Linked DNA regions of Schizosaccharomyces pombe. The protein of the gene in region 2 interacts with the protein of the main gene of each other region in a pairwise test. Each region holds a gene or a part of one and is shown on either strand. Other genes may lie near its edges. The genes, in order: dbl5 and atg11.

Evidence for each region.
Region 1: the proteins of atg11 (region 2) and dbl5 interact in a two-hybrid assay, tested with the Schizosaccharomyces pombe proteins (2 studies listed by BioGRID).

What each region holds. Positions count from the first base shown.
Region 1 is NC_003421.2:222,809-227,989, reverse strand, and holds dbl5 (ubiquitin-protein ligase E3 Dbl5), read left to right. Parts: upstream 1-2,171; 5' UTR 2,172-2,346; coding exon 2,347-2,667; exon of another isoform or gene 2,668-2,817; coding exon 2,818-3,903; 3' UTR 3,904-4,129; coding exon of another isoform or gene 4,130-4,137; 3' UTR 4,138-4,193; coding exon of another isoform or gene 4,194-4,303; 3' UTR 4,304-4,386; coding exon of another isoform or gene 4,387-4,539; 3' UTR 4,540-4,582; coding exon of another isoform or gene 4,583-4,605; 3' UTR 4,606-4,637; downstream 4,638-5,181. Other genes in the region: hexose transporter Ght8, read left to right, coding at 1-1,233; ubiquitin-like protein modifier Urm1, read right to left, coding at 4,130-4,137, 4,194-4,303, 4,387-4,539, 4,583-4,605.
Region 2 is NC_003424.3:2,629,926-2,635,753, forward strand, and holds atg11 (autophagy associated protein kinase regulator Atg11), read right to left. Parts: upstream 3,627-5,828; 5' UTR 3,445-3,626; coding exon 664-3,444; 3' UTR 523-663; downstream 1-522. Other genes in the region: SPOM_SPAC7D4.05 (hydrolase), read right to left, coding at 1-60, 96-258; protein ahk1, read left to right, coding at 4,286-5,828. UniProt on the Schizosaccharomyces pombe protein: Involved in cytoplasm to vacuole transport (Cvt), pexophagy, mitophagy and nucleophagy. Recruits mitochondria for their selective degradation via autophagy (mitophagy) during starvation.

The DNA.
Region 1 (5,181 bases), on a different chromosome or scaffold from region 2:
GTTGCTCCCGCTACCCTTCGTGGTACCATTGTCACCACCTATCAATTGGCTGTCACTGGTGGTATTTTCATTGCCGCTTGTATCAACATGGGTACTCACAAGTTGCACAAGACTGCTCAATGGCGTGTATCCATGGGTATTAACTTGCTTTGGGGTATTATCATGTTCATCGGTATTTCTTTCCTTCCTGAATCCCCTCGTTATTTGATTGCTATTGGTAAAGATGAAGAGGCTCTTGACATTATGTGCAAAAACAACGTTCTTCCTCGTGAACACGAAATTATTCAAACGGAATACCATGTCATTAAAACTGACTGTGAAGCTGAAATGGCCGGTGGTCCCGCTACTTGGGGTGACATTCTAGGTGCGGATATTCGTTATCGTACCTTCCTTGGTCTTGGTGTCATGTCTCTTCAACAACTTACCGGTGATAACTACTACTTCTACTATGGTTTCGAGGTGTTTGAGGGTACTGGTATGAACTCTCCTTATCTTTCTGCTTTGATTCTTGATGCCGTTAACTTTGGATGTACGTTTGGTGGTCTTTTCGTCCTAGAGTTCTTTGGTCGTCGTATGCCATTGATTATTGGTGGTGTTTGGCAATCCATTACTTTCTTCATTTACGCAGCTGTTGGTAATCGTGCTCTTACTCGTAAGAATGGTACCTCAAACCATCGTGCCGGTGCCGTTATGATTGTGTTCTCATGTCTTTTCATTTTCAGTTTTGCTCAAACTTGGGGTCCTGCCGCATACGTTATCGTTGGTGAATCGTATCCCATTCGTTATCGTTCCAAGTGTGCTGCCGTCGCTACCACTGGTAACTGGTTGTGGGGTTTCCTTATTACTTTCTTTACTCCCTTCATTAGTGACTCCATTGGATTCAAGTATGGTTATATTTTCGCTGCCTGTAATTTGTGTGCTGCTTGTATTATTTTCTTGTTTGCCCATGAAACCAAAGGTCTTACCTTGGAAGAGATTAACGAACTGTATCTCTCCGGCGCTAAGCCCTGGATGCCTAGGCCCGAGAATCTCGGACAAGCTGCAAAGCAACAACAAGAGGTTCTTGAAAAATCTCGTGGTGTTCAAGGTGAAAGTGCCGCTCATCTTGAAAACGTTGACAATGAGGGTATGGAGGATACTTCGAGTAACGACATTACATCTTCTACCTCTTCTTCTGAAGGCCGTGCTAAGCCTGAGTCTAACTATGTTGATGAACAAGATCGCTACGCATAAGTTTGTTGACCGAAAATGGCAATGCTTTCGGTTTACACGAATCGGTAGTTTTTAAATGTTATTTCTTTTTAATGAGTATGTGTTTTTTGCTGATTCATCCTTCATTAAAATCGAATTGTATAATTGGATTTTGGCTGTGCCAACTTTGAGAGTTATTTTTTATTTGCATTTCCTTTGTCGTTGTTATTCAAACTGTTCCGTCCTTTCTGTTAGAGATATTAATATTAAGTTGGTGTGCATGCTTTTTAACTGGTAATGTTTTTATGAGTGGCCCGGTCCTTATTACTATGGAAAGGCGTTGATGAGGAACTGGCAGGGATTGCATTATAATTTTAATAATAATGTAAACAGATAATTTAGTTAAATGCTGATAGTTTTTTCGTTAAGGATTAACAAAAATTAAACAGTTCCTTATTTCTAATGTGCTATTACATATCGTTTTGTGTATTGCGAATTGTAGACATTGAGTAGAAAGGTATGCTGAACAGTAAATAAGCGTAGTATCTAATTGTTGATATGTTATTTAATCCTTGAATGTTTTTGAATAGCATTCGTTCAATTTATTTACCTGGTTAGAACGATGCAAAAAAAGGTTTCCGGTAAGTAATCAACGATATTTACGAGTTAAGTCGGGAGACGTTCAATTCTACTTAGAGTGAAACATTGAAAGCTATGGTTGAAAATATTATACTTAAAACTATACGTGAAATGCCATCGGTGCGTATCTGTGAATAATCCTCATAAAAATCCAAGCTACAAGAAAACGCTATTAGCCATGCTTGTTGAACGCAATCGCATTTTGTAACGTTAAATAAATTTACATATGCCCGAGATTACACTGACTACAAGTCACTAAATGATATTTATGATAATACCAGAAGAATTTGATAATGCAGTTGTAAACCGCTGCATTGCAATACGCAGAGTATTTGCCATCTACAAGAAATATATAAAGTACAAATCAATGGTTGATTTGCTTTGAAGAATTTGCATATAATTCGTTTTTTTAAAGGATTTTATTTAAACTTATTATTTTGATAAAGCTTTCTCTCCGGATTAGAAACGTTAGAGCTCACATACCAAGTTCAATAGTAATTTATCTGTCTGGGCGCAATGGTTAAACGCAGTTCTCATCGCCAAGTAGTTTTGGATGAAGACGATGAAGAAAATTATAATAATAACTTGGACGATGAGAAAATGGAGGTTCTATTAATTCCACAATCCAACAGCACAACTTTTGCGTCTAGTGATGCAACTCAAATGTACAAAAAGTCTCGCATTAGCAGTAATTCAGAAAATAAAAAACAAATCCCCGATACAAAAACTTTGCTCGAAACGTTCCAGAAAATAAAAAAAACTCTGGAATGTCCCATTTGCACAGAAGCTTTACAAAGACCTTTTACCACTCATTGCGGTCATACATATTGTTACGAGGTAAGTGAAAATTTGATGCTTAACACTGGAATAACTTTTCATTATCATTGAATTCCCTCATTGTGAGTGAAATATTGAAAGAGCAAGATTATATCTTTAAAAGTTTCTAGATTTACTTTTTTTCTATAAAGGATTGAAACTAATAAATAGTGTCTTCTAAATTGGTTAAAAGAGTCAAAATCTTGCCCAACTTGTCGCCAAAAACTGTATACACAACCTTCACCAGCATATCTTGTATATGAAATAATGAATGTGGTTGCTGCCTCAAACAGTGGCTTCCCACTTGTGGGAATCAATGAAAATCCAGCAAAGAAGCAAAAGGAGGTATTGTTTGATGGGATGTTTAAACAAGAAGATTCTCATTACCCAAGAAGTATCCTTGTTGATTCTGAAGATGGAGTTTTACGATGCGCTCGTTGCCAATGGGAATTGGAAAATCCGTACCATTGCGATCATTGCGGTTTTCAAATATCGGATGACCAAGATTCTGGTCGTGAATGGTTTTGGGATGGAGAAAATGCTGAGAGTGATTCCAGCCTAAATGGCGATAACACCCGTGGTGGGAATATCTCGACTAACCGCGCATTTAATAATATGGGACATGCGCCAATAACTGCAGTACCACAAGATTGGCTGAGATTTGACGAAGGAGAAGAATTTGTGGGGTCTGATTTAGAATCTGATTTTTCTGGTCCAGGTGAGTACGATGTTGATGATGGATTTATAGATAATCGTGCTACAAGCCAATTATCTCCTGTCGAAAGTGACGATGACTTCGTAGCTCCTGTCAATGGAAGTAATGGAAATGGTATTACTGCTTTGGATAGCACAGATAGTGAAGAGATTGATATTATGAACGGCTTCGATGAAGAGCGCGACTCTGGAGGGACGAATATGGTATCTCGATCTGAGACCTGTTATAACGATGGGCAAAGATACGATGAGTTACGAAGAGAGCTTGCTGACATTCAGAATGAAAGTTTGGATTCTCTCAATTCTTCCTCAAATAATTCTCCTTCTCATAACAATATTCATTCCAGGCAACATCCATTCTCATCAGATGAGGATGAAGGAAATATTGTAACTAATGGAACAGGCCTCCGTAGTTCACAATCATCCAGCCAGAATAGAGGATTTGATCTTGAACCCTATTCCGAGGTATTCACTGCAAGCTATCCACGTCGGCAAGCTCGGCGAACTCGTACAATACAACTAGACTCTGACGAAGAATCATAATTACTCAACTCTAACGAAGAAAAAATTATACCGAGAAATCAAGTAACCTTAACCTGGTCTATGGTTTCTGTTCATGATGAATGATTTAATTGTGATTTGGATTTTGGGTCTCTAGAGCATAAGACACTAAAATTTAGCATACATGTCGGATTTATGACTAAAAAAAAAAATTCAATACTAATGATATTTGTGCATGTTTGTTTTGTCTTATAATTATACCTGCCATTTAACCTCCTAGTTGATACAATTAGTTTTAAATATTATAAAAAAAATGCTAAATATTGTTTTACCGTGTAACGTTGAGACGAATACAACTTCGTCACCTTCTTCGAGGTTATATTCTTCCTTTTCAAGAAGTTCCCAATCCTGGTCATTTACTAAGACGATGATCCCCGGACGTCTGCAGGGAAGTGTTAGTTCTGCAAAATCATTTAAAACATCGTTTGAGCCTGAAAAAGATGATACCACTCCATGTTCACTTACACAGTCCCATTTAAAATAAATAAATCTTTTTGAGAAGGCTTTTCTATTATTTGAGCCATATAATCAATCAATGATCCCAACTTAGTTGAGCCAAGGTTTGAAAGTGACAACGACAACGCTTTCTGCTTATTGAAGAGCAAGTCAAGCCCACCTCTACAATAATAGGTTACCAATTGTAATAAAATATGACACCTACAGTAACTCTACTTTTATAGCCATTGTTTTTTAAAACTTTGGGGATTCGTGAAAGCAACGCAAAATGTACGTTCTAACTGTATATTCCACTGTAGTTGTTAAAGAGTGATAGAAATTCAGTGTCATGTCAGCTACGCAGTTTGGTATCTGTTTAGCGTGTTTTATGACTCACTACGTTATGTATCATTATATGTCACACGCTAACCACCGTATTATGAATACCCGTTGATAACAACTGCTGACTCGATTCCTCAGTTTAGTTATTAGATATATTGGTATTCGATACTATTAGACTTCTTATAACAATAAATATAATATTGTTAGTTAACAGGGCGCATACCGCTATATTGAAATTACTAAAAACCTCACCGCAGTTCTACGTATCCGTAAATCAGATACCAAACTGCGTAGCTTACATTTAAGGAAAGCTAAGTTGGGGTGAATAAAAAAGGCAGTGACAAAATAAATGTGTCAGAAGCAATCCACTGCCTCGTTCAGTTTTTTCGTTCTTCTTTTTTTATGCCATTGTTTGAAGGAATTAGTTGGAAATTTGTTTGAACAATTTTATTATTTTGTTAAAAAGTCTTTAAAGTGGTTGGA
Region 2 (5,828 bases):
GAGGATTTAATCCTGACTTTTTTCCATGATTCTTATGCTTTTCACTGAAATCCTTGAATGCTAAATTATTAGATAAATAGAAACCAAAAGCTAACCTTTATTACTATTGTGTTCAATTTCATCAATAGTTGCATGAACTCCATACTTCTGAGCGACTTCGCTGTACACAATTGGAACAGGTTTACTTAAATGAAGGATTGTTCCAAAAGCATCGAACGTAACCAACTTGATCTTTTGGATATTTTTTGAGGGAATCATAATTCCAGGTTGTACTTTGATGGGACACACTACACAAAGCAATTTACATAAGGTACTCCTTACCACCAGTGCGTTGTTCGGTGTGATAAATAATATTTGCAAATCACTTTTATTGCGAGCGATTGCGTTCTACATATTAAATAATATACGAATAGATTAAAAGTTCATTAAAAATTTATCATGTTACAAGACGAGAGACACGCTACAGCAATAGTAGTCGTTAATTTACGTCGGATACCTTACTAGGCGAGACCAAAAAACAAATTTCAGTAAATAATGCCATAACAGATCAAAACCTGAAAAAATAGAAGTATGATAATACCAAATGTCTGTCATATAGAATCAGTCCCACAAATACAAGCAAAGAAAAAGCAAGTGAAGGTATAAGCTAGGTCACATAATGATTTAAAATCTTTCATCGATAGCTTCCACTAAATGCCATATTGTACCTGAAGGCAGGCGAAGCCATTTATCCGTCGAATCATCAGCAGTACGATCTTCAATGGAAGTTACCCTTCCTAACATCCAGTCGCGGCTTTCAAGTTTCAAATGCGGTTGAGTGTTCAAATAATAATGAGGAGCGTTAACATTAAAAGCCGCCCACACCTTTTTGTTACCGGCGGTACGTCGAGTAGGCAAAAACAAGACCAAGGATCCTTGTTTGAAATTCCTTAATGAGACTTTACTTTGAGAGTCCAAAATAGCTTTCAGCGCCTTGTCCCTGTTAGATTGAAATTCACGTTTCCAACGAAGTTCATGATTATGTGCTTGAGTCAAAACACTGACAACAAAGTTATGGAAAGAGTCAAAATCTAAAGAACTCATTCTGTTCAAAAATTCCTGGAAATTCCTATCAGCATCCTCCCCATCCATCCAATAAAGATACTGTAAATCTTTGGAATTAAATTCAATTTGGCGATCTGGAATCGATGCATGGCCATCTCTTTCGTTATCTGAATCAAATCCAGGCTGAGTAACGCATTCCCGAAGAACAGACTGTAACTCATTACACCGGAATACAATGGTATAAAGTTTCTGAGTTAATATCTTACATTGTTCTTTTCGATTCTCGGAAAGTTTGAGTAAATCAGCTTTCTCTGCAAGAGCATAATCTCTCTCTTCAATAATATGTTGTACTGCTTCGGCATCTTTTGCAAGAGTAGCGTATTCGCCCTTTTGCTTCAAACTCGTGAGTTGAAGCTTGAAAGCATTATAAAGTTCTTGCAAGCTATCAACTTTGCCCTCAAATACGGAGTAAAGGTTTAATATGTTCGGTTCATTAGAATGCATCTCCTCGTTTGATTGCTGTTCTGCAACTGCCGCTTCATTTTTCGTAAGCAGTTTCCGTGTTGATGAAAGTTCCTCCTGTAAATTTTCGTATTTTTGTAGCACTTCCTCATTTTCAGTTTCGAGGTATTGGATCTTTTCTTCCTTCCCTTGAAGCTCAATTAATAAGTCCTCATTTCTTTTATTTACCAAATCTAATTCGTTGCGTAATTGATTAACCTCATCTTGAAGTCGTAATATGTGGCTGTCGGTAAAAGAAGTTTTGCGATTAGTTAATTTACGAATTACGTTTAGAGGCACAATACTAGGGGAAACACGGTAAAATGGCTGAGAAGAATTAGACTGCTCATTGATGGGTGGATGTGGAGCATTTGGAGATAAACCATCATTGTTAATGTTATAATTAAAGCCGTTTTGATGGCTTAACATTGCCTCTAAATTATTGCAACGATTTTGATACATTGCCAATTTTTCATGTAATGAATTGTTCGCTTGAACCGTATTGGAAACGGCTTCTCGAGGACTTCCAGGAAAGCCCAAATATTCTGAGAGCCGATTGCTTAGCATTTGATGAAAAGTTTGGTAATTCGGATGTGCTTGAATATTGAGTAAATAATTAGAAATTTCGTCACGAGTTAAAACTGGTAAGTACTTTAGCTGGCCATGATTAAAAAGCAAATTAGAGAAATGACTGAGCCAAGACTTCCTAAGAGAAAGCTCCTTCTCCTGGTCTAAAGGAAGAGAACTATCATGGCTTACATTGTATGATTCCTGCCATTCAGTCCTCCTCAGTGCCTCCATTAAAATGTCGATATATAGCGAAAAAATGTTTCGAGACTGAGAAAGAACGAATTTGCTTCTGTCAAGCTCTTCTGCTATTTGTCGAAGATATTCGTACAATGCATCATATCTAAGAGAAACCTTATAAAAGGAAAGCCAAAAAGATTTCAAAGATATTAGTGATGACTTTCTAGAACTTTTTAATTCCGACAGATTACTTTGAAGTTTTTCCATGCAATCAGTAATTTCGGTTTCGTAATTACATTTTGGTTTGATTTGAGAAGTAGTTGAAGTTGACTCTATTTTAAGGATCTCTTGCAATATATTGGCTGCATCCTGAGCGACGGAACGTAGATGATAATAAGCATCATCTCCTTCCTTGATTGAAGGAACTTCCTTGAATGGGGAAACGATAATACTATTTGCGGCGCCAATGCACTGTTGGACTCGTTTTTGAGCTTCAGCATAACGAGCTGAAATGGAGTTTAACCAGGAGTCCAATTTAGTCCAATTTGTTGAAAGTATTTTAAGAGGAGTAATGGGTAAAGAACCAGTTGGTAGAGCGAGGAAATCATGAAGTAAATCAGACACAGATACTCGATCTAGTCTTTCGTAGAAAACGAAAAGTAAATCTTTCATACCAGATTGTCTTCTTTGTAAATAATTCATTGCAACTTCTGGAGAAACAATACTAGTAGAATACTCATCATGGCATACGCTTAATTGATTATGAATCTTTGAAGAAGACTCTAAAATATCAGATAATAATGAAAGACACTTGCTGATTTTATCTTTCCATTGATCTGAAGAAGAATCAGCTATAATCCCAGTAAGTACATTAGATATTGGTTGTCCTTTCAGAGAAGGAATAGAAGGAATTTTATCACCATCGTAGGTGAAAGTCAACAAGTTTTGATCTAGTACGTAAATAACCACATCACTTTCACTATTTAGTACGGTTTCATTCAAAGACATTCCGTTCGGCAATAATAGTTTTGCTTCATCACTAAGTCCAATATTGAGCTCCATAATCCAAGCTACAAGATTTTGGGGAGTCCATTGTACATTATCTATGGTCCAACTCTTTCCGGAGAATGAATCATTCAATCGAAAACGCATACTGACCTATTGTATTGCTTAACTTTATCATTCGCGATTCCCCAACATTAAACTTGAAATATTTGATCTAAAAGAAAACTCAATATCAGTTATTTATAATCCGTTGCATATAGTTATTCTCTGTCCTTATATTCCGTTTTGTTTGGTAAGTTGGCGGGTTCTATTTGGTTTAGGCGATTGTTGGGTACTAACTACCAAAAGGAGATTGGCATTGTATGAACACTGAGTTGAAGCTGTAAGACAATACAGCTTAAAATTTCAAATGTCTTTTCATTTAGCTTAAAAAAACAATTTTAATTATTGGTTTTATTATGTTTGTCTACTGAAATATATGTCATATGTAGCCGTATACCCTCAAGCTGGTGGGTTCGGAAACTCAGCCTTAACCAAGCATCTACACTGGGTGTGAACGAAAGTGTTGGGGATGCTAATTTACATTGCGGATTTCATATATTTAATTTAAAGATATCTTCTACTTGTTTACTTTTCATTCTTTTAGAATACAAGTATTCTAAACTCGGAAGTATTTTTCTTGTTTTTTTAACCGCGAATCTTTTGGTTACCGATTTCTCTGTCTTTTATCGATAAAGTTTTTAAAAAATTAAAAAAGTCAAAATTTCTCTACTGTAGGAAAAACTTTTGAGCATCTTTTAGCATATTTGGTACATTTTTTTCTGGCATTTGCATAGCTTGTCCTTTAAATCTTCATTTCTTTATTAGTGGTGATTGCACGGCTCATGTTAATTAATTTGGTTTTAATCTAGGGATTAATTATATTCTTTTTATTTGCATTTCACACTTATTCTTTTCTTTACATTTAGCTTCATTTCTGAAATTCTGAATGGGTGACTTTCAATCACGATATGAGATCCTTGCCGCTATTATGGGTCCTCCCAATACAGCCTCCTTTAAAGAGGAAGAGCATTCGGGTTCCCAAACAAAAAACTATCCTGTTGTGGTAAAATGTATTCAGGAACATGATCCCGTCGATACAACCAATGTGCTTGTAGCTGACGACCTTGATTCGAACTTTGAACCATTTTCGATTACAGATGATTATGGTAAATATGAAAACACTTTAGTAAGCCATTCCTCAACAATCTTAAATGAGCCTTACAACGAATCACCCTCATCATCATCTTCTGATTCCTCTTCTCGTTCTACCTCTCCTTTTTCTCAGTTGTCTTCTCAAAGCCTACGCCTTAATGCGGAGGAGATAGCGCCTTCTAGCTTAATAAATAAGGCCGTCCAATCTACCTTACGTCTTTCGGAGCCACTGGTTTCTCCAATAAAGTGTCCTTTATCCGAGCAATTCATCAATTTTATTAATCAGCAGGATTCTGATAAGGTAGTTCTTATAAGAGGGTTTTTATTACCACATTTGGCTTCTTTAACCACTAAAAACGTTTCCGAACCGGAATTGGATAAACTTAGGCATTCTTTGTATAACTGGTGGGTATCCATTCTTCGACGTTTACAATCTAATATTTCTACTTCAGAACGTATCACATATACAAAGGCCATACTTGCTATCGCCAAGCATCATTGTTGGAACAAAGTGGAACACTCTGCTTTATTGTACTTGGAACACCAATTAATACTTTACGATACATTGACATTTGTAGTTCATCTGCTTTCTCAAAAGTCCTTGCCGTATTCATTAACGACATTTTGTGCGAGTATCTTGGTTCTCTCCTTTTTTCAACTTCCACTTTTTGCCGACCATTTCTTGAGCGCATTAGATGTAAAGAAAAAGTACATTGATGCTTTGGGCTCATCCTTCGACGAAAAAATAATGATTATTTCACATAAGTATCTTGCGCCATTTTTTACTGACCAATTTTCCTCGACTATGCATCCGTATTACCCAAAACGAACTTCAACGCCTTTTACTATAGGTTACAATAGGCAGCCTATTGAATTCACACGAGCATGGATGCGTCGCTTTAAGTCTTCTACAGGTGGATTCTTTTTCGAGTTTTTATCATGCTATCATTCTTTTTTAGCTTTGCAATTCTCTTTCGAATTACCTGATAATGTCATATATTTCGCTCCAGGTTACATATGCTTACATGCTTATCTTCTTGAATTAACCATTTCGGTTATACATATTAGCGACAAAAAGCCATTAATGTTACCTACAGGACATGAGCAGTTTCCATGTAAGACTTTACCAGAAGTAAATCCATCAATGGAAGAATACAATCCTAAGATGCCTGTAACTGCCACGACTTTATCGACTCTTCAACAGTTTGTCGGACATATTAAAGATGCTTTTAAAAAGATTGGGGATTGCAGACAAGAGCAGATGCGTTTATTAGCCGTTTTAGAGCAAGTTTTAATTAATGTTGCCAAAAACACCCCTGCTTTTAATCTTCAATCTT